Caenorhabditis elegans: one gene and its partners. The protein of the gene in region 1 purifies or fractionates together with the protein of each later gene. This does not show direct contact. Each region holds a gene or a part of one and is shown on either strand. Other genes may lie near its edges. The genes, in order: ilys-5, lys-4, glrx-10 and fkb-1.

Region 1 (9,558 bases):
TTTGTTACTTACTTAGTTCCAATTTTCTTGCAGATCTTTGAAGAAGTAGTAAAACCCGTTCTGGTCTGAAGTCTATGAGTAATCCAATTTTATGATGCTTCTAATGAGAGCTTAAGAGTCGTAAGGTATTTTGGTCCCTTTTACTATAATTGATCGGAATGATCTTACAGTGAAAATTATAAGACTTTAGCATTATTGGACACTGTTTGATTGTTTAGTCTATCAATGTTTGTTTGTGTAGATAAAAAAATGACTCTGAAATTGTTTGATCTTGTTCTTTTTTGGAGATGTTGAATATTCAACTAGATCATGGATTGCATCAGAGACTCATGCATATATTTTTACCCATCTTGTAGGTGGTAGAGGGTGGAAGTTATGTCAAAGATGTATCTCATTAATTTTTCCTGCTCAGTCTCTAAAGATGCAGCACATTTCAACCTTCAATCCGTAAATCGCTCTCCTCTTTTCCTTCCAAAAAACTACGAGCTTAATCGCAAAAAAAGATGAATTGAGTGGGTCACTGATTTGTGACGTACTTTGCTCCTTGGAAAATGAATATATTCATTTACTTTTTTTACCCAGATTGCAGTGCAACGTAATCATCTTTTGTGATGACACCGAAGTACTTGGAAAGTGTTAAAGTGTTACACCATTTCAGGGTTTCTTCTTTTAATTTATTTTTAAACATCATAGTCACCGTTGAAAGGAAGGCAGTTGTTGCCTTTGTTTTCATAAGGGATTAGAAATCCCAGAATGGTTCCGAATTCGATGTACTACGTAGGTCACCGAGTAGGTGTGAACTCTAGGAATTCGGTATTAAAATGTAGTCATTGTTACGTAAATGTCAGAATTAGATTATGAATGGGGCAAATTGAAAATGGAAACTTTACAAAAGCAAGGGGAAATTTGAATAATAAAACCGCATGTTTTTTATATGATAAACTATATTGTGACGTAAAAAGCAGTCCCGTGCTGTTCAAATTATTTGATTTTTAATTCGAACCGGAACATCTCCATTTGCAGCGTGTGTGGGTGAGAGACCTAAGGCAACGGGTACCAAAAAATTGCGCCTTCCGGGAATTGGGATTTGGAAAATATGCCTAATTAAAGTGACGAGATATAAAGTTGGGTACGGAAGAAGTGTTATCAGGTTATATCCAGTGTTTTTCGGCTACCAGGCGTACACAACTCGTTTGTTACTATGAAAAAAGCGACACGGGATAATGGAAATTCGAGAATTGAATTTAAGAAAAAGATAATATGATAGGGTTAAAGTATTACTTTAGAGATTTAAAATCATGTTTGTCTTCCCGCGGTTCTACTCCCTTTTCATTTTATTTCATTCAACGCCTAACTATTACTAACTCTCTTTGGAGAGGAAGTCAAATCAGCGCAAGATAGATTAGAGACCAGTTTGGATTTTTCAAAAGGTTGCAACTAACAAGACTGAAAGTCTAATCGGATAATAATCTCTTTCCAATCCAATTACAAATTAAAAACGAAGAGAGGAGAACTTGAAAAGAGTGCGTTGGTTGGAAGGCAGAAGGATATAGTTGAAGTACATCCTGAAGCAAATCGGATGTTTGCTTGTTGTCAATTGATGACTCAGTTCTTAGAACTTCATGTACTGACAATTTGGTTATCACTATCGCAAAAAAACAATCAGACGGATGCAAGAATAGCTAAAATAGTCGCGGGTTCAAAATAGATATTCGTATATACGTTCTGCAAGGTTGACTATAAAATGTTTTCAGTTACGTTTCAGTTACTTATTCATCACATTACGTACTTATTCATTGTCAAAGTAGATTTAGCAATCAAGCACTATAACATAAGTATGACGTTGTATTGACATTAACGGTGATTGATTCTGACAATTCATTCAGCGCGGACGAATCCGATTTACGTCGTAACTATATTCTTACCCAGTGCTTTGTTTCAATGGGTTTTATCAGCACAATAAGTTAAATTGAAGCGTAAAAAGCAAACGACATGTGTTTTTTCACACTCATCATTACGCTTTATTTGGCCATATCACATCACAACATGGGTCAAAATTCTTAGTTCTTGAATTCTTTGTTTGTAACGGATCTCAAAAACAACTACAACAAATTGAAAAGTGGGACGTTGAAAAGATGGAAACGTTCAAATTCAAACACGTGGCTAAGAAGGAGGAACTAGCTCAGTGGAAGTTAGAGCAGCTCAAAAGCTCGCCGGCGGTAATAGTTTGTTTTCGAATGACACCAAAGATTCGAGACTTTCGTTGATTATAAGAAAGGCCTTTTTTCGATGAAAATAATAATTAACAGAGAACGTGGAATCTCTGTTCACAATTTCCGAACTTAAAATGCGAGTTCTAAGAACACAATTTCGAACATCTGCTGTTCAAGTACAATTTCCTGGTCCGGTATGTGAAACATTTTCTACTAGTCCAAGCTTCACTTAGAATACTAAATAGAGTTTGTTCTCAACTGAGTCTTCAGCTTTCGATTCCTTCCTGTCTTTATATAAAAACATGCGCTTCTGGGAGTAAGTTTGTTTTTATTAGATAAAAATATTATCATTCCCTTGTTATCTTTTTGTTATTGTGTTGAATAATCAAACAAGATAATTTTCATTTAAGTGTGTGAAGCGTCCGACCAATTCAGAACATTCCTACTATAACCAATGTAACAGTCTATGTATAAAGTCACATGTTACCACACATTTTATGATTTTTACGGAACTAAAGAAGAGTTTTTAGAAACTACTTGGTACATACTTATCAGAATGGTTTGCACGAAGGAAATTGGTCTTGAATTTCAATTTTCTCTGCCGCTTCTTCCAATCTCCCAGCACACCCATGTCTATGAAGCAAAACCAAATTGCGATGGAATCGGAGCAATTTTTGATATCAACTGATAATGTTCATTCGTTTCCGAAAAGTCTTAACGAGGCGAAACCATGCCGATCGCACTATTTACAGATCATATTATAACAAAAACGGTTTGTGTTTCATTATTTGATAGCACAAACTGTAGACAAGGAAATACGCACCTAGTTTGGTTTGCTGGAAGAGCATGACAAAAGAAAACAATTCTCCATAAAAGCGTCTAAAATGTAACAATGAAGATCGAAAAGTAAAAACTTGTGGCAAAGTTCTAGACTGGATAATTGATGCGACAACCAAGTGGTTTTGTTGCGTTTTTAGTCACGATTATTCCAATTCAGGCTCTCAAATGACGTCGTCACACATAATGAATGAATTATGACAAAACAGACTGCACTACTGAAGAGAGCAATGCGGAACGAGGATTCAGTGTGTAAACTAAGGTAAATCCGCGTGAACGTCGTAACTGCTTGGATTTACTGTCTATTCACTCATTAGTGAGTGATATACTTGTATTGAATGAAATTTCCTAAAGCTCCCGTCGTTACGGAATTCACGGTCAATTGAATTTACAAAAACCGTCCGTATTCAAAAACATTATTATAAAATGAATAAAAATTGAATTGTTCGATGTTTGATTGTTTACTGTTTTGGTTTTTGTTTAGATTATTCTACTTGTACTTGAATTGTCCTTTTAACATTTTAGTGAAAATAATCAAGCTTGAATGAGTTTTTTTTCAGTTTCACATGACTTAACCCTTGCACAAAGTTGTTGAGCCGGAAACTAAAGCTTACTCATTAGAAAAATTTACCTACTACCTGATCGTAGTTAGGGTTTTTACAAATAATCTTTGTGTTAAAAGAGAAAAACACGCTTGTTTTGTGAAAAGAATGCTGGTTCGAGATGTATCTGGGGAACTGAAAAACGTCGGTTCAAAAATTAGCTCAATATTATTTTTAATGGAACTTTATAAGAAAAAAACATCATCACATAAATACGAAAATCTAAATATTACCTCATTGAAATTTGAATAACAAAAAAAATGGTCAAAGACACAAATAAATATAATCTTGATCCTATTTCAGAGTATTTCCTCGTCCACCCCCACCAATCAAAAGTATATTAGGAAGCCGCGTTCTTTTTGACCCGAAGATTGGATTATAAGATTAGCAACAGAGGTGTATCCTTTCACGGAAAATTGCAGTCCATTTCAATAATCACAAGATTTCTGATTTGTTGCATTGTGTTGGTTTTCTGGGGAAGGATATACGTTTTTCTAGAACTATCCATGCCACACTTTGATTGGCATTGAAAGTGGCATCAATTGCTCTTTCGCTCTGCGATCACAGAGCTGTAACTCCGCCTCTGACAGTCTTCGGTACAGGTGCTTACGTAGGAATTACCGGGTTTTGAGATAAGGAATTGTGATCAAAGGCACGTGTAAGTTGATATAAAAGAGAGTCCAAAAGTTAGCAAACTCAGACAGCTTGTCCATCAGCCGATATGTTTGTCAAATCGCTTCTGCTCCTTTCTGTCGGTGAGTGTGATAACAAAATTAAAACTGGTTTCAGTGAACAGCAAAATTGTATAAGATCTAGTAAATCACCAGCTCAAAAGAATTAGATCAAAACCAACATGAAATTGGATTTTTAAGGTGCTAATTTAATTTCAATGTTTACATTTTCTTTTTTTTTTAGTTATCAGTTGAAAATGTTTCGATAAGTCTGAACACTGATGCGTTCAATCAATTAAAACAAAACTAGAGAAATTTTTAATTTCCATAAGGCTGGTAATATCTTCTTTTAAAAACAAAGAATGAAACGTCATTTAAAGTTTAATATCGGCTAACCAAAGATTAATCTAGACTCAACTACTCCCATATTTAGTGTTAACTCTTGTTGTTGTTTGCTTGTTTATAAAATTTTATCGGATGAAAGTTCGCTTAATATTAGCTCAAATCATTTCTCGGCTCACGGGACATCTGATTATAGGTTTACAGCTAATAGCACGTTTTGAAAGCTAAATATGTGTTTCACATTTGTAAAAAACAATAGGGAAAAGTAACAACAATTATAGATCGAAGAAATAGGAGAAAAATAAAAATAAATTGAAACTTTAAAAAAAGGCAGAGACAGCGAATAGAACTATTTCGTGATTACGGTATTTCAGCTATTGCGTACGTTTCCGCCGACTGCCTCCACTGCATCTGCATGAGAGAGTCAGGATGCAAACCAATCGGTTGCCACATGGACGTTGGATCCCTCTCCTGCGGATACTATCAGGTAAATCAAGATCAACTAGGGAATATGTGAATCTAGAAATGGAAATAGCAGAATATCAGAACACGTTTTCAATTTTGTCATGAAACCATACAAGATGTTCGGTTGCCTGTTTATTGTTTTGCCATTTAAATAAGGAAACAATAACACTTCAGAAAAATACGTGAAATTCAAAAGCTCATCTTTCATGTCTTCATTAATTGATGGTTTTTGAAATCGGCACGAAATGTTTGTTATGCCTCATTGAACAGATATTTCTTTAATGAAAATCTAGCATAATTGAAACGGTTCATCGGACCACAGCCCCCATATTTTTCACATATCTCTTCTCAAGCGAATCGGAAGTTCCTAATCAGTATGGTAAAATAAATCGCGTTGAATTTTAATTTTGAGTTTTTTCGATAAAAATGTATAACAAGAAACGATGTTTTAAATTGCTAAAACAAAAAAACCACAAAAGAGCAAATGCGTACTTTCCCGAGGAAATGGACAGGAAATGCTTTGAAAATGTTAAAACGGGATTGATTTTTGTATAGGGGAACTTTTGCATTGAAGCTAAGAAGATAAAAGGCATACTAGAAATGAAAACTTTCAAAACCATGTAGACAAGGAAATTGTATGGAACAACAACAAGGATATACAAAAATTGAACTCTACTCTATGTATTCCAGTTTTTTTTAATTTTAAATGTACCAAGACCCAACTATAAAAAGTAAAGAATAAAAATATAATATGTTTCTTTTAGATCAAGATTGGATACTATGAAGACTGCGGACAACCAACAAAGAAGGCTGGAGAGACTACTGAAGCTGCCTGGAAGAGATGTGCTGATGATCTTAACTGCGCTACCACTTGCGTCGAGGTACGTGCAGATTTAGCAACAGGATACATGCAAAAAAAATCATCAAAATTCTTATTTTGGGAAAACGGGTGTTGAGTGGGTGCAACTTTTCATCCTTAAATCGCAAAATTCCGGATAGACTGCGGCTTATTTCAGTCATGGAAGCAATTCTATCCTTTGGGAATCTCGTCATATCATTCTCAAAATTAAAAACTTCGCGACTAAATTTAGTGTACGAATTACGTGGATCGCCCACCTGAGAACTCAAATTTCTACTATCTGCCGCTAATTGAGGCAAATTAATTTAAACGTCATGTAGACAATACTGCGATGAGTAACTTTTCTGCAATTTCAACGGCGGAACTAGAAAAAAAGGAACTAGCTCAAAATAAGTTGCGAGATAATGTCAAAAATCACAGAATTAACCTGTAAACAAAAATGCACACATAGCAAACGAGCCCAGCAAAAAACGTCATTGTTAGCTTCTATGTATGGCTATAGCGGTGGCGACGTTAACGACATCAAAGACAATAAGTACTTATTGTTATCAACACCCCGCTAACAACGTGCTTACCACGCCATAAAAAGTAGCAAAGAAAGATTATGACGGCTTGAAAAGAGGTTAAAGAACTCTAATACGGAATGAATGTTTGCACTCTTCACAAAATTTATTGAATACGTCAAAAATCACATATACAAAAGAGGAAATCTAAAATTTTAAAATCTACATGTTATACAAGCATTTTGAAATAATTTCAGAACTACTACAACCGCTACAAGTCTCAGTGCAATGGACTTGGAATGGGAGCTTGCCAGGTGAGTCGCCTACGCAGTTGTTGTTTTGCTCTGGGCACTTTCAAATTGTGTAGATGAAATACAATTTAAAGTTTTCGAGTGTCTGGTAGTTTGGAGGAGGTTGCCCCCCGATTTTGATTTTTGAATTGATCAGAAGGAAACAAAATATTTCATAAAGTGATGCGAAGTTTTAGGAAAGATACAAAAATTTCCGCGAAAAAGGGGTCAGAGTTTTTTATTTAGAGCAAGAATGCTACTACGCAACTAACTATAAGAGGTTGAAAATTAAATGTCGAACATTTCTATTTTGGGTAGCAGGGGAAAACATTAATATGCCATAGTCACTAGGTAGGTGAAACGACCCTCTGGAATAGAGAAATTATTGCAGACCTGAACAGGTCTGACGTAGAAATGTCTAGAGCATCCAAGTAGTATTCCACCAAAAAATGTACATATACTTCCTGACAATTTTTGGAAAATTCTGACGACAGAAACACTACAATTTTTTCTCGATTCTTTATCTTTTAATCATTTTGGTCACACTTGAGCAGTTTTTTAACATCATTTCATTGAGTGGACATGTGTATTTGACAATTGATAATAGTGGGACTAACAATCAGAAAACTACGTAGCATTTTCAGAAGTATGTTGTTTTGTTCAAGTTAGGACAAAAGACCTTAGATTTCAATCAAGCAAATGGCAATCCATTCAATTTCAGATCATGTCCCGTAACCACAACGGAGGACCACGTGGATGCCACAACGCCAACACCTTGGCTTACTGGAACGGAGTTAAAAGCTGCTGTGGATGCTCTTAATTTTCAATTTTATCAAAATAAGAATATATATGAATCAATAAAGCTTATTTAAAATCAAAGTAGAAAGGATATCAAACTTGTTTATAAGCTTTTCAAAACATAGGTTGCGAAAAAATGCGAACGTTTTGAAAAATAATTGAGTAGGCGAAGAGGTCAGTGGGTTTAAAATGATGTCAGAGTGAACAATTTATGAGAACAAGCATATCGTTTTCTAAATTTGTAAAGGTCTAAGTAGACCACCATCTATGTCATAGGTTGTATCTTAAAATAAGTTGACCCGTTTTATGATCTAGTTTTATATTCTTTTTGCCTCTGGTGAGAATAAACAAGGCTTTCAATTTGTCTGCTCGATGATGCATGATGTTTACGATACTTTCGGATTAAAATAATCGTGAGATGGATTTGCACGAAAAGGTTGCGGAACGAACAGCTCGAATGATATTAAATGATAATCTCGAATTGTCAACAAAGTACATTATGAAGTGATAGGAACTGTTGTTCGCAGACCTGAGATGTTTTGAAAACTTGATTTTAAAACCTACGCAACCGGAAAATTAAAGATCACAAGATTTCTGTGAGGATCATAACGGGTGTAGGTAGCAACTTTATCTCGGTGTTTCCACATTTCTATTTCAGGCTTAAAAACAAAGTTGGTCTTTTTCGTTCTCAAGTTGAGCTCAAGACAGAAGTTGGGAAAAATATCATTTTCAGATTACCAGCAAACTTTTCAAAACAGAGCAGAAAGAAGAAAACTGATCATTCGTGATAAAATATTTAGTCTCCCGAGGATGAAAAGTTTAAGGAAGTTAACTTTTTTATCTGTTGTTAATAACCTATTTTTTAGATTGAGTATTCAACATATGTTAAAAAAAATGTTTTCACTTCAAAATTTGGAAGAAAATTAGGTACTTTTCCGATTTTTGCCCCCCAAAATATGTTTTACTCAATATTTCAATTTAAATTCACACGTGAATGTTTATTTTAATACTATTTCAAATTTTTAGGCTTAGAAAAAACAATACTAAGCCTGAAATTACAAAAAAGTTCACGTTTCATTAATGAAAATATCGAAACATTTTGGGGGGGCAGAAATCGGAAAAGTACCGAAAATTAACTTAATTAACTTGATAAGTTCAAAACTTGTCTGAATAAAGTAAAAAAACCAAAGATTTTTAAAAGTTATAAAGTGATGCTTTTTGATTATCTATCGTATCCAAACAGGTGGTCAGACAAAACAAACGACACCTCGTGAGAATATCCAGACAGCTAACAAGTGACTGTGAAACAAGGAAAAACTTCAGAACACATATTAACTGAAAAAAAAAACACTTAATTTTTCTTACTTTTCTCTATTTTGTTCTCAATTGATATCATCTCTTTGCCGCTGGTTTTTCTTGCTCTGACTCTGAGCAAGATTTTTATTGGCACGTGAAAAAATTGCATCATTTCAGGGCACCACTGAGCGTGGTCCTGTAGCATGTGACCAACAAAAATTACGAAAAGAAATTAAAAATTTGTTTACTTGAAATTGTTGTAAGTTATAAAAAAGTTCCCTACTCTTGATAAGAACGTCTTATGGAATTCGATATGGATTTTTTTTAATTATGTGTACATTTTTTTACCTAGATTTAGAATTTGAGCCGCGTTAGGGGGGGCTTTTGTGTAAAATTGATTTTTTACAGACGTACAAATCTGTACGAAAAAACCAAAAACAAAAATAGTAATAAGACGACTTGTATACGCGAAACGATAGAATAATTTTGCAAACAAAAATTCTCAGCTTCTGAAATTCTAAAAAAAACGAGTTCTCGCGTGTATTTCTCTCGAGCAATCACTTGATTTATTTTTTGATTGTTCAAACGTTTTTATTTTTCCCTTTATTTTAAACTGAATTATAACAACAATAATTAGTAATTCATAAAAACAATTTGAACTGAATACTAGCTCAACAACATC
Region 2 (7,621 bases), on another chromosome or scaffold:
CATGTTGTAAACAGCCGATAGAGACAAAGAGAATCCCGAAAGGGAGGCAACGCAGATTGCTCTCTATTATTTTTACAACCATTCAGTGTTTTGAGGATGCATAAGACAAATACCAAACTGCCGAGTATACAACGTCACACTCGGAATAAATAAAGATGATTTATAGAGTCAACCGAAAAAGGGTACATGAGGTGAATACTGGTTCAACCTACCTACAGTCCTGCGTACAGATTTTCTACTCTGGAAACTTTGGCTATATATTTTTGGGTTTTTTATAATTTTAAATCCCGATTCACGAAAGCGTTCTCAGGGCGAGAGCCCGATTCCGCGAAAATGTTCAACGTTTTCCAATTTCCATGTACTCCTTGGCTATAGTGGACCTGTCTGAATTTGTGCTAGACCCAATTAGAAGACAAAGAATATAAGTACAGTAAGTGGAAACTAGAAAATGGTTTGGAAGCCAACATCAGTTGCAAAACCACGTGCAATCAAACAAAACCAAATAATGATAGAGAGAGAAGGAAACATATGATAATTTAGTCTAAAGATAATTTAGATCAAATTCATGTTGGATTGAACATCTTGATTAAGAATTCAGTCGTAGATCTATTCTCAATATTTGTTATTTTATCATTTTAACAATATTTATTAACGAATTGAAATGAAAAAAAAAAGAAACAAAATATTGAGCTCTCTTGAAATTCCTGATTTTATCTTTCCGCTTGCGTCAAAGTCATAAAAGTCTCCGGTATCTGGGAAGTATAAAAGAAGTGTATGGAGTCTGAAATGTCTGGAGAAACATGAAGCATTTTTTCATTACAATCCTTCTTTTCTGCAGTGTTGTAAGTGCAGCTAGAAATGGAATTGATATCAATTCACCAGTATCCACTTCTACTTTTACTTGTATTAAGAATGCTGGATTTTCATTCATAATTCCCAGAATTTATCATTCATCGGGAAGTGTAGATACTGTTGGAGTGCAAAATGTCAAGAATGCCAGAGCTGGTAGGTTTTTTAATGAATTAATATGTATGCTGTGAATCATATTCATTGAATGCCCTATATTTATTTATGAATACATTAGAGACTTACCTTAACTATTAAGGTTACTGTAGGAAAATGCGCAAAATATTATATTCTGAATCTTCGCTTTCTTGGAATTTAGGATGTGGCAGCTTTTTGTGGAAATTTTTTACAGTAGCTTCGTGGCGAGAACCACCATTTGAATAGGACAAACGACAACTGAGATATTAATTGTCAAAGTTGAACAATGGGATGCAAGACTAATAGAGGAAATATTACATATTAAAATTTTCGAGCTAAAAATATTTAAATTATGTCTATAGAAAGGTAACTTCATTTTAATTATAATAGAAACATTATCTGTCAAAAATGCAAAACTATTATGCAAAACTATTGTTAACGCCAAGAGTCGAAACTCCTATTAGATTACGGTCAGTGAGTTCAAATGAGGCTTCAAATGGTAACGTGAGAATTCGAAAGTTTCAAAATTAGTGAAATCAAAAGTATGAAGATAACTTCCGGGTATACTGTTTAAATTTTCAAAGAGGCTTAATGGTTACTGTAGACTCCCAGTGTAGCTAGAAGTTGTTTGATTTTTAAAACACTGTTGCAGCTGGCCTCACTGATGTCGATGGATACATCTTCCCTTGCCTAAAATCGACTTGCGCATCTGCTGCTAACCAAGTTAAGGCGTCTCTTGATGCAGTTAAGGCTGCTGGAACTAAGATCTCCACTCTATGGCTTGATATTGAACGTCTCAATTGGCCAGCTGATCATGCTAGCAACCGTGCATTCATTGAAGCAATGGTCAGTGAAGCAAAGGCTTATGGACAACAAGTTGGAATCTACAGTAACTATTACAATTGGCAAGATATTGTTGGATTGGATTATCATGGACAATCTAGTTTGATGCTTTGGTGGCCTGCATACGATGGAGTCAAGGATTTCTCAAAGTACGCTCCATTCGGAGGATGGTCGAAGCCAACAATTCATCAGTGGTCTGACACCACTACTGGTCCGTGTGGAGTCTCTGTTGATATGAACTACATTCCATAAATAATTTTTTAGCGCTTTAATAATAAAGTGTATATTTCAGTAAACAACATTCGTTCATTATTATGATTTATTCATTCCTTTAATAACGTTTGAGAATTGCTCCGAGCAATTCAAAGTAATCTGAAAAGCATCGAAAATTACTTGAAATTTAATAAGGAAATTCAGTTTTCGATGACTAATTTTTATTTTGAAACTACTAGAAAGTCTATTCCAACTTTTATAATAATTTCTGCAATAATTATTGAGGAATTCCTTAAGGAATGATACAGTACGCAAATGAGGCATGTACGTTATTATCAATTTTTGTGGAGTATTTCGTCAATTGATCACATTTTGATGCCATCGTCGGTAGCAGAAATCACGTGCAATCAAATAATGATAGACGAAGCAAAAAGGTTGATAATGTAGTCTAATGTGCGAAGTTCAAATTGCTAATCGAAAAATAAAACACATTGGGGAGTTGGGTTTTCAGAAAACTCGGTATATTTGAAATCATCTGAAAATCGGCTAATGACTTTTAATACAATTCCCGGTATTTTTTAGGAAGATGTACCGTCAAAGAGAATAAGTCATGAGCTCAAAAGCTTTCTAGGTCACAGCCGACCTGTGATCTGAAGCAGGGAACAAATCAAGAACATAATCACGTTTTCAAGCATCTAACTTTAAGCACCTTATGTTTTCTCAGCTTTTCACGCTTCCAAACAGATTAATTAAGTTATTTTCAATAAACTGTATAAACTTCAAAAAATTTACAGATAAACAATGAATTTCACAATGTTTGGATTGAAAAATTGATAATTTCTTTAGTGTTAATTTAGGCAACGCCAACAAACCACGCACAAGCCTGCTGCCGGGACCATTAGCTTGTAGAAATAATACAGTACTCGGGAGGGTCGAAGGTTTCAATTTTAGTTCTTTTGATCTCATTGTTGCAAATATTGAAAAACGACGAGAGATAACGGTCGAGAAACCCCGAGAAATATTTTCGAAAATGAGACGAAAGTGTAGTTGCTCTCCATATTTTGTTTCATATTTTACATCAGCCTCTGAATAAAACAAAAAAGATAAGAGAAGAGGGTTTATGAAGTTTTTGATTTTATCTTTCCGCTTGCGTCAAAGTCATAAAATTAGAATCTCCGGTATTTGGGAAGTATAAAAGAAGTGTGTGAAGGCTTAATCAGGGGAGTTCAGAGAATCATGAAGTTCTTCGTCTCGGCTTTGCTTTTGATCGGTGCTGCAAGTGCAGCTAGAAATGGAATTGATTTCATTCAACCAGTGTCTACTGCTACATTTCAATGTATTCATAAGGCTGGATATTCTTTCGTAATTCCAAGAGTCTTTACTTCTGTTGGAACTCTTGATCATACTGGAATTCAAAACGTCAAGAATGCTAGAGCAGGTGAGCATTTCAGATGGGTATCAAGGAATGGTTTTTACCATTTTCAAAATAATTTCCATTCTTGGCAATTTGGTTCTCCTTTCCCTCGCGATTCTTCGCCTCACACTTCTAACTTATAGGTCTGTGCATACTTCCTAGTATAAGTTATGAGTATTAAATTTGTAAGAAAATACTTAAACTAACAAAATCTTATCTCTTTTTCTTATTTCTTTTTGTTTGTTTAAAAACTGCCATCAAATAATTCAAATACACATATTCCCAAAAGTCAAGATGTAGTGGTCAATGAAATATCTTTTCGTTACGTTTTACAACCATTCATTGTCCCCTCTGACTGTCTAGTTTACCAGGGCATGCATTGTCACATGATTGTAAACAGAGTATGGAAAAATAATAATATTCAAATATATTTGTCAATAGGTTGAATATAGAATTCAAAATTTAAACTAATCTTGCTCTTTAATATGTTTTACAAGTATACATACAATGCATCTAGTGAGTGAAACAATATATTACCTCTTGAAACTAAAAAATGAAAAAAAAAATTACAGTTTCTTTCTAAGTATTATTGTCCAGAATAGCAGAAAATTCCAATTTAGGTGATGGTTCGACTGAAAATGTAATATGAATGTTCAAACTTGTAGGGACTACCACAATTATGCTTTTCTAAAAAATTAAACATTTTGGAAAAACTTCCAAAAGAAAAGTTTTAGGTGAAAATTTTTTCAACCATAACTAATCATATGATCCTTTTGAGCTGAATATTGAGACCGTAAGGGGGCCCTTATGATCACTTTAAGTTGGAATAATCAGATCATAAGGATGAGCTTTATAGTATTCCAAGTCAATTATAAGCATTGTACGGGTTCGAACATTCAAACTGATAATATTCCAATTTATTAAAACATCTGAAGTTTTCTACAAGTTTCATTCAGTACCAAGCTAATTACAAATTTTGCAGCTGGCCTCACCGATGTCGATGGATACATCTTCCCATGCTTGAGATCTAACTGCCCATCTGCTGCCAATCAAGTTAAGGAAACTCTTGATGCTTTGAAGAGTGCAGGAACTCATGTCTCTACTCTCTGGCTTGACATTGAACGTCTCGCTTGGCCAGCTAATCACGCCAGTAACCGTGCATTCATCGAGGCAATGGTCAGAGAAGCTCAAGCTTACAAGCAACAAGTTGGAATCTACAGTAACTATTACAATTGGCAAGATATTGTTGGATTGGATTATCATGGACAATCTAGTTTGATGCTCTGGTGGGCAACCTATGATGGAATTAAGGATTTCTCAAAGTTCGCACCTTTCGGAGGATGGAGCAGACCAACAATTCATCAATGGGAAGGAACCACTACTGGCCCATGTGGAGTCTCTGTTGATATGAACTATGTTCCATAAATAGCTGACCAAAATGTATAAACATGAATAAACAAATTTTTATATGTAAACCCATACATTTTCGCTAGTTTCAGACGCGCAATTGATTTCTTGATTTTTTGAAACAATTTAAAACTGTAAAACTGACAACAAATGGGTCAGTTTTAGAACATTCGAAAATTATGTTTTATTTTCAATAATTTTTTGTTACTTATTTAAAAAATTTATCATTATTGTTCGGAGACTTTAATTATATTCTCATTCAGAATTGTTTTCTATTTTTTTAAATCTAGACCTGTGAGTTTCAAGTGAGTTTCGGCCAAAATAGTAACATCAAAATGGCTTTACATTTCAAAAAGCAGATACGGTAAAACTTAAATTTTTGTTCTCTTTTCTTTCAAAACTATTATGTTGTTGATCTTCTAGACACGTTGTCAAGTCAAAATGCGTAGTGATGACGTCACTTGGGGTAACCTTGAATTACACAATTGACCTCAATCGAATCAAAATTAAAGTTGACGAGTACAAATATTTAGTCTTGTTTTTTTGTTTCTCCATCTCATTATCAACATTTCAACATGCAACTTCTTGCGATTTCTTTCTTATTTATAACTTTTATTATTGAATCGGTGAGATTTTTTGAACCACTGTAATTTTAAGATTTTATTTTTACAGATAATTTGTTCTGGATATCTAGAATTACATATTCAAAGTCCTCATATACAAACCGCAATTGTGAACATCTCATCAAATTTTCGAACAGAGAAATCAAAAATAGTGCATTTAAAACTTAAATCTAATGTACCATTTAACGTTACAAGGATTCCTGTGAACTTTGATAATATCTACAATATAACCATAAAATGTGGAAAATCAGAGGAAGATGGCAAGTTTAATTCATATTTTAAAAATTCAACTCCAAAGTATTTGGGTCTAACTGACACAACAATTGTCTCAACTGTTCACCCACGTGTTGGGCTGTTATCACCGGCTGCTGTAGCCAGACCTTTAAATGGAATTCGAATCGTTATTGGTTGTAATAAGTAAGCTCGTTTGTCTTGAAATTGGATTAAATGTTTGTCACAAGACAACTTAGAAATCACACGGTACTGTAGAAAAAAAAGTAAATATATCTTGTGAGCATGTTCTAGAAATCTAGGATTTCGTCTGGAAATTTTTTATTTGGAATTTTGTATTCCGTGCAATTTCTATTGATGACAGTGAATTCTGGTTATAGAGCTAACGGAAAAATTGGAATGTTGCTCAAATTCTTTGTTTATACTTGACATACTTGACTACGGTTCTATCATAAATTTCATTGTAAAATCTAGCTTTTGAAGAAAAGTTTGTCAAAATGTCATTTTAGGTCCTACAACATTTCAGTTCATGATTATTACGGCTGAAAGTCTGAAAGTCTAAAAGAGAAAATATACCATTTTTAAATTTTTTTTTGAATCTGTATCATTGTTTTAGAAATTGGTTTGGTGAGAAATGTGAAACTTTTTGTGATGAGAACAAAGCAACCAACTCGGGAAAACACTGCAATTTTCAAGGAAAACCAAGTTGTTTGAATGGATTAACTGGGTCAAAGTGTGAAAAACGTGAGTTGCATATTTTTAAAACTAATCTCTACGTGAGTTTTATAAATTGCAGTCATTGTTCCAAAGTTGTGTAACTGTGAGAATGGTGGAGTTTGCATTGATTCAAATCCAAAACCAATTTGTGAATGTTCGAAAGCCTATCGCGGTGAAAAATGTGAAAAGAAGCATATATCAGCGTCTCTTTCCTCACATTATAAAGGAGACTTTTGGAATTTTCGAATGACATTTTGGCAGTTGATATTCTCGAATTTAGTTGAGAATGAGTTGGCAGAGATTAGCAAATCGGAAGCTTGGGAAACAATTAATAACCTATTGGGAAATGTTTCTGATACTCCGTTTGCAAATCGTCCAAATAATACGGAAACATTCCCAATAACTGGTTCTGTTAATCTTGATAATGTTGATATCATTTAAATTTAAGTTCTATAAAATCATTTGAAGTAAATAAAAACATTCACAGCTTTATTGTGATTCATTGTGACAATTTCATGTATAAAACAACTGAACCATTTATTTATCAAAATATTGTACCATTTTAATAAATTTTCAAGCTCTAACAATTGAAGTTTGCCCTGAACATTAAAAAAATGGAAAGCTGCTGGAACATTTTAAAAGTTGTTGTTTTTCTCTTAGTATTTCCTAATATTTTTTAGATGGTTTCCGATAGTTATGGGAACGTTCTGCTACATTTTTAGTGTTTTTTTTTATTCTGAAAACTCGTAAAAGTAAAACCATAAATTTCATAATTTTTGAGAAGTATCAAAATTTTCTAAATTAACGTCGAAAAGTTGTGTATTTCTCAAAAGGAACTCATCGCGTTTTCCTGGTAACCTCTCTTGTCTTTTCAATAATACGTCTTCCCACATGCAGATTTGCAGGCAACAGTGGTCAACTACTCAAAGGAAAGCGACACCAATCTATATAGTCTCCCCAGAGAGAGAGAGGAGAGAGAGAGAGAGAGAGATCTTCCCAGAAGCCTGGTTGTGTATGTGATTCTATATCGATCGCTATGTGCACACCGAAAACGCCGCGTTTGCAGCCCCCTAGACCGACTCCAATGTTTTCGGTCATTCATTTTTTTGCTTATCCCCCCTTCTTGTGAGTGCGATCCACTCAAATATAAAGGGTTCCTGGCGAGGGCCATCTGATTAGGGTGCTTGCA
Region 3 (7,408 bases), on another chromosome or scaffold:
TTAGCTTTAAAAAAAGTAGAAAAATCGGCAAAAATTTGTTTTAAAAAAATATTTTTTCAAGTTTTTATTTGAAAAACGTAAACTGAAAATTATAGCCAAATTATTGATATATTTTATTAAAGGTGGACTAGCGCCAGTGGGGAAATTGCTTTAAAACATGCCTATGGTACCACAATGACCGAATATCATGATAAAAAAATTCAAAAAAATTTTCTAAATTTTATATGATTTTTTAAAAATTGAAAAAATCTCAGTTTTTGCCTAATTCCTATTTGAATTTCCGCCAATTGGATTTGTTCGATGGAGCGCGCTTGCACGTTTTTAAATTTTTTTATTTTATTTTTTGTTATTTTCCACCGATTTTTAATGTTTTCGGTGTATTTTTGCTCTAATTTTAAAGAAAAAGTGAAAATAAATGCAAATTTTCGATTGAAAAACACGATTACAGGCGTAAATCAGTGAAATTAATTAATTCAGATTCGAAATCGTTTAAAATCGGTACTTTTTCATTTTTACGCCTGTAAGCGTGCTTTTTAATCGAAAATTTGCATTTATTTTGACTTTTTCTCTAAAATTCAAGCAAAAATACACCGAAAACCTTAAAAATCGGTAGAAAATAACAAAAAATAAAATAGATAAATTTAAAAACGTGCAAGCGCGCTCCATCGAACAAATCCAATTGGCGGAAATTCAAATAGGAATTAGGCAAAAACTGGGATTTTTTCAATTTTCAAAAAATCATATAAAATTTAGAAAATTTTTTTGAATTTTTTTATCATGATATTCGGTCATTGTGGTACCATAGGCATGTTTTAAAGCAATTTCCCCACTGGCGCTAGTCCACCTTTAATAAAATATATCAATAATTTGGCTATAATTTTCAGTTTACGTTTTTCAAATAAAAACTTGAAAAAATATTTTTTTAAAACAAATTTTTGCCGATTTTTCTACTTTTTTTAAAGCTAAAAATCACAAAAAAAAGGTTCAAAATCCAAAAGATTTCTGATTTTTTTGGTTTTTGCAATTTTCTGTCTAATTTTCACTCCAATTTTCATAGATTTTTCTCTAAAATCATTTGCTTTGGAAAAAATTTGAAAAAAACACTTTTTTTTCTGAAATTCAAAAAAATGTCACTTAAAAAAAAATGTCATTCCAGGAAGTTGCCAGAGATCACGAGGGCACCGAGAAAATCCGAATTCGTGAGGAACGTCACCAGCGATCCGAACTTCGGAAGATCCGAGAACAGCAGAAAGAGGAGGAGGAGCAACAACAACGAGATAGTGCAGAGAAGGTGGAGAAGGAGGTTACTGTAGATCAAACCATATCGGAGGTGGCAGCGGCGGCGGCGGCAGTCGAGGAGAAGCCTGGGACCCCGGAGCCCGTTGGGAGAATGGTAATTTTGAAAGAAAAAAAAACCGATTTTTTACCAAAAATCAATCATTTTGCCATTTACCATTTTTTCCAGAATATTGATTTTTCCAAAAAAAAATTTTTTCTCAAGAAAATCTATTTTTCCAAAAAAATTCGATAACTTTCCGAAAAATCTATATATTTCCAGTTTTTTTTTCAGTAAAAAAATTTCCAGAAAATCGATTTTTCCAAAAAAAAAAATCCATATTTTTCTAAATTCAATACTTTTTTCAAAATAAATCGATATTCTTTTCATTTTGCAAATATTAAATTATTTTGTCTAAAAATTTTTTTCCAATCGATTTTTGTAAAAAAAAAGGTTTCCAAAAATATAAATTTTAAAAAAATCGATATTTTTTTTAAAAACCTGTTTTTTTTCCAAAATTCCAAAATCCTTTCAACTTTTACCAATTTTTTTTTGAAAAAATTCGATATTTTTCAAAAAAACTTTTTTTTTAAACCAAAAATAAATATTTTCCAAACTATTTAAGTTTTTTTCGAAAAGTAAATATTAAAAATAAAATAAAAATGAACTTTTTTCCAAGTTCATTTTTATTTTTTGAAAAAAAAAACGTTTCTAAAAATCTTTATCCTTTAACCAAAAATAAATATTTTCCAGAAAATCGATATTCTTTATAGATTATCGATTTTTTTCCAAAAAAAAAAAATGTCCTGAAAATAAAATAAAATACACATTTTTCTCTATAAGTCTATACTTTTTTCCAGAAAAAATTGAATTTTCTCAATAAAAAATTGATATTTTTCTCTAGAATGCTATATTTTTCCAAAATAAAATCTAAATTTTATTCCAGAAAAAAAGGTATTTTTTCTAAAAATCAAAAAAAAAATCCAAGAATTCTATATTCTCAAAAAACGGCATTTTTCAAAAAAAAAATCATTTTTTTCAGTAAAAAAATTTTTTTTTTCTAAAAATCAATATTCTTCCAAAAAATTGAAATTTTCATCGATTTCTCTCCCAAAAATATATATCTCCAGAATATCGATTTCCAATTTTTTTTTCAAGGTTTTTTGTCCAAAAATCGATTTTTTCTTTCCAAAATTTTTCCAAATTTTTTTTCCGGTGAAATCAATATTTTTCAATATATGTAATTCCAGATTATCGATTTTTTCTTTTCAGAAAACATATTTTTCCAAAAAAAAAAAACGGATAAGAAAATCGATTGCCGGAATTTTGTTGAATACCGGCAAATTCCCAGTTTGCCGATTTGCGGGAAATTTACAATTCCGGCAATTTTCCGATTTGCCGGAAAAAATCGTTTTCCGCCCACCCACCTGATTCAAAAGTCGATATATTTCAAAAATTGATATATTTCCAAAAAATAACAATATTTTTCCACAGGGAGAATCAATTTCGGAATTCATCGGCACCCCGATCTTCTCCCGCCGTGACGTCACGGGTACGTGGATTGAGGATACTGTACCATCGCTCGAAGCGTTTTCCGTCGGCATTGTGCCATTCGAGGCGAAAGAGGAGGAGAAGCCACGTGGCATTTTCAAAAAAATTATGAGTACTTTGAAAGGGATCACTGGAAGAAATAGTGGAGATGATGAGATGAAGAAGAAGGAATAATTTATTGATTTTTTTTTTTTTTTTGGATTTTCGACTTTAAAATTAGCCTAAATTTATCCTAAAATTATCCTAAAAATTAAAATTTCACATGGTTGACAAATTTGCAGTGGAGCGCATTTGCAGAATTTTTTTTTTGAATTTTTTTTTCATAAAAAGCGTAACATTTTCCAAATTAATGGGATTTTTAAAGGAAAAAATTATCCCAAAAATTTTAATTTTCTAATTGAAAAAAGTGTTATTAGCCCAATTTTTAAAGGTTTTTTTTGCAATTTTCATCAGAAAAAGCGTTAAAAATATCAATTTTTCGTGAAAAGTTGATGAATTCTCTCAAAAACTCGGCAAAAAGTACCGCCAAAAATTCAAATTCTCCAATTTTTCATCTCTACCAGCAAATTCGCGATGGAGCGCATTTGCAGAGTTTTTTCAGAAAAATCGTAAAATTTTCCGAATTAACGAGTTTTTTTTTAAGTAAAAGTGATCCCAAAAATTCAAAATTTTCCGATTTTTGAAATTTTTTTGGTGCAAAAAAACTAATTTTCAAATTAAAAAAAAGTGATTTGTCTAAAATAAAAAGCGTTTAAAAAAACCTTTTAAAAATTTTTTTTCCCAAAATTCACGTGGTGCCAGGGGCTGTCCCATCGACGGTTTGATCTACAAAAAATGCGGGAGTTTTTCGCCCAAAAATGTTGTGACGTCAGCGCTTTCTTAACCATGCGAAATCAGTCCCCGCGCATTTTTTGTAGATCAAAGTAGATCAAATCGAAATGAGGCATTCTGACACCACGTGAAAATTTCAAATTCTCCAATTTTTCATCTCTACCATCAAATTTGCGATGAAGCGCATTTGCAAGGCCTTTTTTTAAATTTTTTAAAAACTCCTTAAAGTTAAAAAAAATCATTTAGCTTTAGAAAGCCCAAAAATTAAAAAAAAATTTTTTTTTAATCGAATATCAAAAATGCATTTGTGCTCCACCGCACGGCGGTAATTTCGAAATTTCTTTAAAATTTTTTTTATAAATTTCTGTATTTCACAACTGTATTTTTTCCCGAATTTTCCTCGCCTAATAACACTATTTGTCATGATTCTTACGTCATTGTCGCCGCCGTTTCTCTTTTTCTCTCGCCACTCTCTCATTTCCATACACTATTTCCACTCTCATTTTTATCATCATTTTCTTCAGTTTTTGCTGCTTTTAAAGCCTATGTTTTCCCTTTTTATATAATATCGCAGAATTTTGTTTTTGTAAATTTAATATATATATATATATATTATTTATTTGATGATAATGTGATTTCTAATTTTTTTTTCCCCAATTTTTTTCAAATTCAAATTGTCTCTACGCTTTTCTTATACTTCATTGCCTTTTTTTTTCAACAAAAATTTGAGAAAAAACACCAAAAAATTTCAGAAAAACCATGTCAAAAGCCTTTGTCGACGGACTTCTCCAATCTTCCAAAGTTGTCGTATTCAGCAAATCGTACTGCCCGTACTGCCATAAGGTAACACAATTTTTCTGAAAAATTTGAATTTTCCTCGAAAATTGCTTTTTGTCATCAAAAAAAAAAAAAAATTTTTCTGAACAATTTTGTCCTAAAAAATTTGCTTTTTTCTGGATTTTCAGCGAAATTTCCCAATTTTTTTGAAAAATTTATTCCAAAAAAAATTATTTTAAAAAATCGTGTGCAACAGAGCGCAGTTGCACCAGTATGAAATTTTGCAAATTCAATTTAACTTAAAAATCAAACATTTCTGTATTTTTCTGAAAATGCAGAAATTTTGGGTCTCGTAGCGATTTTTTTTGAGAAATTTTCGGAAAATTGAAGACAACGGCAAAAATCAATAATTTGCGAAAAAATCTGTCACGGGGTTCTGGCATTCCTCATTGAATTTTTCGCGCTCCATTGACAATCGGCTGCCGGACAACGCGTGGGAAAGTGTCGTGTACTCCACACGGACAAATACATTTAGTTTTACAACTGAAATCGAGCCGCGACGCGACACGCAACGCGCCGTAAATCTACCCCAGATATGGCCGAGCCAAATGGCCTAGTTCGGCAAAAACTCTTCCATTTCAATTTATGAGGGAAGCCAGAAATCCGTGAAAATTGAGAAAAATATTATCCATTTTCAAAATCTTTTTTTTGCAAAATTTTTGAGTCTCGGATACATTTTTTAAAATAATTTTTTGAGAAAAATTAAAAAACCCCAATTTTTCAGGCTCGTGCTGCTCTTGAATCGGTCAACGTGAAGCCCGACGCTCTGCAATGGATCGAAATCGACGAGCGCAAGGATTGCAATGAGATTCAGGATTATCTTGGCTCTCTAACCGGAGCCCGCTCGGTGCCACGTGTCTTCATCAACGGCAAGTTCTTCGGCGGCGGTGACGACACAGCGGCCGGAGCCAAGAACGGAAAACTCGCCGCACTGCTCAAGGAAACCGGAGCTCTATAGAATTTGAATCGCCATTAATTTTTATGTATTTGATTTATTTTTTTCTTCATAATTCAATGACACAACCCGAGATAAAAGTGAGAAAAGAGAGAAAAGTAGTACAGCCAAAACACGTGGTGTTAGCAGAGTGTCTCATTGCGGCTTGATCTACGCTGATCTACAAAAAATGCGGGAGAAGAGACGCAGAGTTCTCACATTTTTCTGGGCAAAAAATTCCCGCATTTTTTGTAGATCAAACCGTAATGGGACAGCCTGGCACCCCACGTGCCAAAAAAAAAACGAAATTCAAGAATACATAGAACTGATTAGAATATCGTCTTCGTCGGAATCCTGTTGCAGTATGCTCGGGCCCCCGTGCCCGCCGCCACGTCGATTTCGAAATCCGGATTTTTGTCGTGATCGCCGACGAATCACAGCGACTACGGCAACCGAGAGAACGAAAAACGCGACAAAGGCGAAGAAAATGTGCGAGTATTGGATTGTGACGGTGCCTGAAAATTAAAAAAAAAAGGTTTTTGATGAATATGCGCGTAAAATTCGGTGTGTTGCGAAGTTTGGCTAATTTTTGGCGCATACCATGAGATTTACTGCAAAATTTTCAAAAAAGATATGTTGTTTCACACGTGGTGCCAGGCTGTCCTATTACGGTTTGATCTACAAAAAATGCGGGAATTTTTGTGCGAAATCGGTTAAGAACTCTGCGTCTCTTCTCCCGCATTTTTTGTAGATCTACGTAGATCAAGCCGAAATGAGACACTCTGGTGCGCCACGTGGTTTTACATAGTTTAATTAAATTTGCGCGTAAGATATGGTGTAATATGGTGGCTTTCAATTTGAAAGTTTGCAACAATTGCGCGTGAAATATAGTGTTTTTTTGAGGTTTGGGATTAGTTTGCGCGTGAGATGCAGTGTGTCCTAGTTCAACAGAATCTTGCTCGTATGGCGTAGTATTACAGGGAACACAAAATTCTGAGAATGCGTATTGCACAACATATTTGACGCGCAAAATATCTCGTAGCGAAAACTATGACTACTGTAGCGCTTCTGTTGATTTACGGCCGCTTGATTTGTTGAAATTAATTAAAAATTTAAATTGAATGTCGCTGTGGCTATTCGAAAATATATTCATTTCGACAATCGAGATCCCGTAAATCGACCTACAGTAGTCATTCAAAGAATTACTGTAGTTTTCGCTACGAGATATTTTGCGCGTCAAATATGTTGTGCAATACGCGTTCGCGTAATATAGTCTTCGAAATAAGAAAAATCAATAATACCTGAAGATTCAGCGGTTATCGTCGTTGTCTCCTTCACCGCCGCTACGGTGGCCTGCACATTTGTCTGTCGTGGTTGAGCAACTCCCTCACGAGCCATCGGCGCTCCGCCCCTGGAATATCGATTTTATTGATTTTTTATAGAGCGCAATAGACTCTACATATTTGTGTACACAAACCCCATATCGAATAACTCCGGAAAATCGGTGATCTCCTGTTGAAGAATATTCGAGAGAAGCGAATCCGCCATTTTATCGATTTTTTTTGGATTTTTTTTTCAACAGGAAGTGGAAACTGGAGGAAAAACGAGCCAAGGAATTGGGTGGAAAATTTGATAATTTTACTGATAAGGAAAATGTCGTCAAAATGCTATATAAAATATAAATTTTATTTCGTAACAAGCGTGAAAAAATGTACCGCACAGCAATGACTATTTATTGATTTTTACAAGCCGCACGTGGTGTCAGAGTGTCTCATTGCGGCTTGATCTACGCTGATCTACAAAAAATGCGGCAGAGTTCTCAACTGATTTCCCATGGTTCAGAACGTGCTGACGTCACATATTTTTGGCCAAAAAAATCCCGCATTTTTTGTAGATCAAACCATAATGGCACCACGTGGAGCAATTTCTCATTGGAGCGTGTTTGCAACCTAACCTCGCTTCGCAATTCCACTCGTCGG
Region 4 (6,549 bases), on another chromosome or scaffold:
AAATACTATAAATTCCAAATAAAAAACATTTGAATTTCCAGATCAACATGGTTTAAATTGGTGGTCGACTGCCACATGGTTTCTTGTTATGCTTAAATGGACATGGCAAAACGCATTTATCGCCAGATATTATGGAAAGCTGCTGACGAAGTCAATTATTCACCCAGAGGAGCCAGATGATCCATCAACTTGGAAGTTTTAGAATGTTGATTTAGTTTTACATTTCGTGTGAAATAATTATGGGTATTATTAATGAAGTACATTTTTGTAATTGTTTTTGACTGATTTCTGTTGTGTACTATAAATGCTAATCTGTCAGGACTCGTTAGTTAGAGTGGAGATTCACAGAAGAAACTAAAACCTAATGAGACCCCAGAATACTGCCGGTATTCTGTCAGGACTCATTAGGTAGAGAGGAGATTCACAGAAGAAACTAAAACCTACTGAGACCCCAGAATACTGCCGGTATTCTGTCAGGACTCATTAGGTAGAGAGGAGACTCACAGAAGAAACTAAAACCTAATGAGACCCCAGAATACTGCCGGTATTCTGTCAGGACTCATTAGGTAGAGAGGAGATTCACAGAAGAAACTAAAACCTAATGAGACCCCAGAATACTGCCGGTATTCTGTCAGGACTCATTAGGTAGAGAGGAGATTCACAGAAGAAACTAAAACCTACTGAGACCCCAGAATACTGCCGGTATTCTGTCAGGACTCATTAGGTAGAGAGGAGACTCACAGAAGAAACTAAAACCTAATGAGACCCCAGAATACTGCCGATATTCTGTCAGGACTCATCAGGTAGAGAGGAGATTCACAGAAGAAACTAAAACCTACTGAGACCCCAGAATACTGCCGGTATTCTGTCAGGACTCATTAGGTAGAGTGGAGAGTTGGAAATGAAACTAAAACCTAATGAGACCCCAGAATACTGCCGGTATTCTGTCAGGACTCATTAGGTAGAGAGGAGATTCACAGAAGAAACTAAAACCTACTGAGACCCCAGAATACTGCCGATATTCTGTCAGGACTCATTAGTTAGAGTGGAGATTCACAGAAGAAACTAAAACCTACTGAGACCCCAGAATACTGCCGATATTCTGTCAGGACTCATTAGGTAGAGATGAGACTCACAGAAGAAACTAAAACCTAATGAGACCCCAGAATACTGTCGGTATTCTGTCAGGACTCATTAGGTAGAGTGGAGAGTTGGAAATGAAACTAAAACCTAATGAGACCCCAGAATACTGCCGGTATTCTGTCAGGACTCATTAGGTAGAGAGGAGATTCACAGAAGAAACTAAAACCTACTGAGACCCCAGAATACTGCCGGTATTCTGTCAGGACTCATTAGGTTTAGTGGAGAGTTGGAAATGAAACTAAAACCTAATGAGACCCCAGAATACTGCCGGTATTCTGTCAGGACTCATTAGGTAGAGTGGAGATTCACAGAAGAAACTAAAACCTAATGAGACCCCAGAATACTGCCGGTATTCTGTCAGGACTCATTAGGTAGAGAGGAGACTCACAGAAGAAACTAAAACCTAATGAGACCCCAGAATACTGCCGATATTCTGTCAGGACTCATCAGGTAGAGAGGAGATTCACAGAAGAAACTAAAACCTACTGAGACCCCAGAATACTGCCGGTATTCTGTCAGGACTCATTAGGTAGAGTGGAGAGTTGGAAATGAAACTAAAACCTAATGAGACCCCAGAATACTGCCGGTATTCTGTCAGGACTCATTAGGTAGAGAGGAGATTCACAGAAGAAACTAAAACCTACTGAGACCCCAGAATACTGCCGGTATTCTGTCAGGACTCATTAGTTAGAGTGGAGATTCACAGAAGAAACTAAAACCTAATGAGACCCCAGAATACTGCCGGTATTCTGTCAGGACTCATTAGGTAGAGAGGAGATTCACAGAAGAAACTAAAACCTAATGAGACCCCAGAATACTGCCGGTATTCTGTCAGGACTCATTAGGTAAAGAGGAGACTCACAGAAGAAACTAAAACCTAATGAGACCCCAGAATACTGCCGGTATTCTGCCAGGACTCATTAGGTAGAGAGGAGACTCACAGAAGAAACTAAAACCTAATGAGACCCCAGAATACTGCCGGTATTCTGTCAGGACTCATTAGGTAGAGAGGAGATTCACAGAAGAAACTAAAACCTAATGAGACCCCAGAATACTGCCGGTATTCTGTCAGGACTCATTAGTTAGAGTGGAGATTCACAGATGAAACTAAAACCTAATGAGACCCCAGAATACTGCCGGTATTCTGTCAGGACTCATTAGGTAGAGATGAGACTCACAGAAGAAACTAAAACCTAATGAGACCCCAGAATACTGCCGGTATTCTGTCAGGACTCATTAGGTAGAGAGGAGATTCGCAGAAGAAACTAAAACCTACTGAGACCCCAGAATACTGCCGGTATTCTGTCAGGACTCATTAGGTTTAGTGGAGAGTTGGAAATGAAACTAAAACCTAATGAGACCCCAGAATACTGCCGGTATTCTGTCAGGACTCATTAGGTAGAGTGGAGATTCACAGAAGAAACTAAAACCTAATGAGACCCCAGAATACTGCCGGTATTCTGTCAGGACTCATTAGGTAGAGAGGAGATTCACAGAAGAAACTAAAACCTACTGAGACCCCAGAATACTGCCGGTATTCTGTCAGGACTCATTAGTTAGAGTGGAGATTCACAGAAGAAACTAAAACCTAATGAGACCCCAGAATACTGCCGGTATTCTGTCAGGACTCATTAGGTAGAGAGGAGATTCACAGAAGAAACTAAAATCGTATAGAACCCGCGATGATCACATCTATCCCATGTGCACTAAATTTCCTCGTTTTTACTGGATTTTTGAATGTTTCAGTTGAAAACCAATCTGTTCCGTTTTTGGGAACGGAGTGGATTGATGCCGAGGCTTTGAGGCAGCCTTTGCGAGAGATTTGGCACTCATTTTGTCTGAAATTAATTATTTATAATAGAAAAACTGAATTATTTTGTAAAATTTGTAAAGAAAACGGTAAAAATCTGTTTAAAACTCGGGAAAACTCAAAAACTATGAACTATGAGTTAAAAATCCGACAAAAGTTGCGCCAACAACTTTTGCTGACCCATTACTCGTTTTCTCTGCGTCACAACGCCACGTTTGCTTGACTTTTGTTTGCACACCTTCGATTGCTCTTTTGCACTGATTTCTCTGTCCATTTTTCTATTCATAACGTATTTTTTCAATAATTTTTCGTTGTATTGTGCTTCTAAAAATCAATTGTATTGTTGTAGGATCATGAAAACCGCTGTTATCGTTGGACTTTTGTGCCTATTGGCGATCGCATATGCTGCCGATGAGCAGAAAATCGATAAATTGCAAATTGGAGTCAAGAAGCGTGCCGAGAACTGCGTTCAGAAATCCAGGTAAGCTTACTCTTTTTAATTAAAATAAAAATGTTAAATTTACAGAAAGGGTGATCAATTGCACATGCACTACACCGGAACCCTTCTCGATGGAACTGAATTTGATTCCAGCCGCACTCGCAATGAAGAATTCACTTTCACTCTTGGACAAGGAAATGTTAGTTTTTAAAGAAAAAACCAATATCAATAATTAAAATTGAAATTATAGGTGATCAAGGGATGGGATCAAGGACTTCTTAACATGTGCGTCGGAGAGCGTCGTATTCTCACAATTCCACCACACCTTGGATACGGAGAACGTGGAGCCCCACCAAAGATTCCAGGCAACTCTGTCCTCAAGTTCGACGTTGAGCTCATGAAGATTGACAGAGACGGAGAAGAATTGTAAACGAACTACGGATATTTAGAAAACGTGCCTTTTGTAACTTATTCATGTTCTCAGAGTATAATTTTTTTTTGCAGTTTTTTTTTTTGTCTTTATAAACATGCCCATTCTATATATTTGGACCGTCTGCGGCCATTGATCACAACCGCGTCTCGCTTCTCTTTATCACCTTGTATTGCACTCTGTCAGCGAAAATGATAGGGTGTGCGAGACATTTATCAATTTCCATACACCTTTTTCTCTTCTTACCTAGTAATGCCTTGCTTTCTTAGTTTTTAAGAATGATTATTTTAATCTGAAAATCTGGAATCAACAGTTTCGTAAATATTAGAATTCAAGTATGTGGTTCCTCTGTAAATAAAAAGCACGAATCGAAAAAGGAAATGCATTTTTGAAAATGTCGAACAATAAACAAAAAATTGGAATTCTATTAGTAGAAACCCAATTAAAACTGGCATCCATGAATTATTGCACCAACGATCCGAATGCTTCTTTTCTCTTTTTTTTTGTTCATGCTCCATCCTAACAATAGTTATAAATTGAGGTCGATTCTTGCTCTTCGTTGTCTTCTCTCAACACACGAGTAAATTGAGTATTCCTTGAGAGCCTCCTGTGAGAGTATTTGTGAGCCTTGTATTTCCTTTCTCTCACTGCTTTCTTCTTCAGTTTTGATGTATAAAAGTATGAATAATAAAACTGACATTTCGCACTGAAAATTCAACGTGGTTTCGGGAGTAATATTTGCATAATCCGTCTTCTTGAAACCAACGGAGCGTGATGGAAATTTGATAGGACTCGATATTTTCTCTAGAATTTTGAACTTGGTTTTTTGAATTCTCTATTTTTTTGAGATCTATGATAATCTAACGCTTTTTCTGTTTGCCTACGCTTTTCGTTTTTTTTGTGTTTCTATTGACAGGCTCCCATCCCATCATTTTTCGGTGTCTGCTACTGCGACCACCACTGACAGATGTGTCATTTTCTGCATTTTTTTTTCTGTTTTCCGAATATTGATTTCTATTCGATTTTTGAGGATTAAGAATAAATCATAAAATATTAAATTATTGGTAACTGCAATTGCGACCATTTTCGGAAATCGGTTTGAAACAAGCAAAAATAATTACCGAAGCTATATAATAAAAACCACTCATAAAACGAAGTTTCTCAAATATTTGTCGGAATTTTTCTTTTTAATTTGTAAAAAATTAAAGTTTCCAAAGAAATACCGCAGATTAAAGGCGCTGCCAATTAAATAATATTATTTTCTTTTTTCAGATTTGCAAATACAACAATGAAAGTCGCGTCGAGACCATTACAAAGTATTCTAGATGCGCCTTTAAAGTTACTGTAGGGACTTTTTGTTTTCTCTTTTCGATTTTTCTACGAATGCTTTGAAACTGTTTATTGTAGAATTTTAATGTATTTTAATCAGTTTTTGCTCTTAAATAGAGTAATTCCCAATAATTTTGTATCAAATTTTACCATTATCTACAGAAATTCGTCGGTTTTTCAATACATGCTGTCTATTATTCGTTTTCAACCCCATACAGTAATATTTTTCAGCTTTCAAACAAATAAAAAGAAAAACACAACAATTCTTCATCGATTTGCGAAGAAAAACTGCTGATCGAAATTAGTATTTATACTAAACAAGCGTCTGGAAAGTTTGTATATGACGAAGGACCACTGAAAGCAAGAGAAAATAGAGAAATCCAAGAAATATTGTGACGCGTTGTGGAGACCCAGGACGTTAGGGGAAAGAAGACGAGAAGAAGCAGCGAGGAGCCATGGTTCAAACACTGAGAAGACCGTGGCAAGAAGCGGCAAGCAGTGCTTTTGCCGTCGCCAGTGCTCTTCCGGTGACTATGAATAGTACACAAATTGCTGAGCTCTTCGAACAGGTTATATTTTATAATTATTAATAAATTTTAAGGAAACATTTTGAATCTCAATATGCTAATCTGAATTTAATACGATTAGAAATACTTTAATCGTCAAAAAAATCAATTTTCAAAAACCAAAATTGACAGAATGCTGTTTTATTTCGAAATTTAAGAATAAAGAAAAGTAATCACATCTTCCTAGAAATAAAACAAAGAAAATATCCTTTGAAGATCTTTGTTCAAAGAAAAACACTGAAAACATAAATTTTATTCATTTTTTTTTAACTTTGAAATGATTCCAGGTTGAGCATGGCACCACAGAACTCAGATGTGCACTCACCGCAGAAATATCAGCTCTCAGAAACGCTGTAAGTGCTCGAAATCGAATAAATTATTTCAAAAACAAATTTCAGAATGGAGAATCACTTCTCACAGTTGCCGTTCGATCAGGAAACACAGCAGTTGCCAAACAATTAGCACAATTGGATCCAGACGCAATTGATGAAACTGACAATGTAAGATTTCTGAAATAAAATATTTGAATACTCCAAAAAATTAATGAGCCATTTGATTTTTTTTCGAGTTGAGTTTAAAAAAAATCCTTATTCAAAAGCTGAATTCTTTTTTCAACTGAAAATTATTTCAGGAAGGTTGGAGTGCTCTTCTGAATGCAGCTCACTGTGGTCATGTTGACATTGTTCGATTATTAATTGATAATGGAGCATCTGTTGATCAACCTGATTTAATGGGATGGAGTCCTCTTATGTGGGCAGTTTATAAAAATCATTTAGATGTGGTTGATCTACTTGTTAACGCAAAAGTAAGTTATATATATATTTAATTAGAA

Evidence for each region.
Region 2: the proteins of ilys-5 (region 1) and lys-4 fractionate together in Caenorhabditis elegans (co-fractionation; one large-scale study listed by BioGRID). This does not show direct contact.
Region 3: the proteins of ilys-5 (region 1) and glrx-10 fractionate together in Caenorhabditis elegans (co-fractionation; one large-scale study listed by BioGRID). This does not show direct contact.
Region 4: the proteins of ilys-5 (region 1) and fkb-1 fractionate together in Caenorhabditis elegans (co-fractionation; one large-scale study listed by BioGRID). This does not show direct contact.

What each region holds. Positions count from the first base shown.
Region 1 is NC_003284.9:6,531,593-6,541,150, reverse strand, and holds ilys-5 (lysozyme), read left to right. Parts: upstream 1-4,310; 5' UTR 4,311-4,373; coding exon 4,374-4,407; intron 4,408-5,039; coding exon 5,040-5,152; exon of another isoform or gene 5,153-5,894; coding exon 5,895-6,011; intron 6,012-6,749; coding exon 6,750-6,806; intron 6,807-7,503; coding exon 7,504-7,602; 3' UTR 7,603-7,661; downstream 7,662-9,558.
Region 2 is NC_003282.8:11,618,754-11,626,374, reverse strand, and holds lys-4 (LYSozyme), read left to right. Parts: upstream 1-3,200; 5' UTR 3,201-3,276; coding exon 3,277-3,478; intron 3,479-4,069; exon of another isoform or gene 4,070-4,090; intron 4,091-4,436; coding exon 4,437-4,879; 3' UTR 4,880-4,946; downstream 4,947-7,621. Other genes in the region: lys-5 (Lysozyme-like protein 5), read left to right, coding at 801-1,005, 1,637-2,079; dsl-5 (Delta-like protein), read left to right, coding at 5,437-5,487, 5,534-5,901, 6,332-6,459, 6,512-6,873.
Region 3 is NC_003279.8:1,045,186-1,052,593, forward strand, and holds glrx-10 (Glutaredoxin-1), read left to right. Parts: upstream 1-4,410; 5' UTR 4,411-4,417; coding exon 4,418-4,501; intron 4,502-5,219; coding exon 5,220-5,453; 3' UTR 5,454-5,542; downstream 5,543-7,408. Other genes in the region: Y34D9A.7 (PSP proline-rich domain-containing protein), read left to right, coding at 1,157-1,393, 2,771-3,001; Y34D9A.8 (Low-density lipoprotein receptor domain class A), read right to left, coding at 5,739-5,944, 6,731-6,840, 7,384-7,408.
Region 4 is NC_003282.8:11,033,280-11,039,828, forward strand, and holds fkb-1 (peptidylprolyl isomerase), read left to right. Parts: upstream 1-3,302; 5' UTR 3,303-3,306; coding exon 3,307-3,434; intron 3,435-3,479; coding exon 3,480-3,591; intron 3,592-3,642; coding exon 3,643-3,822; 3' UTR 3,823-3,895; downstream 3,896-6,549. Other genes in the region: Heme transporter hrg-6, read left to right, coding at 42-202; kdin-1 (KAP NTPase domain-containing protein), read left to right, coding at 5,607-5,720, 6,005-6,070, 6,116-6,217, 6,349-6,522.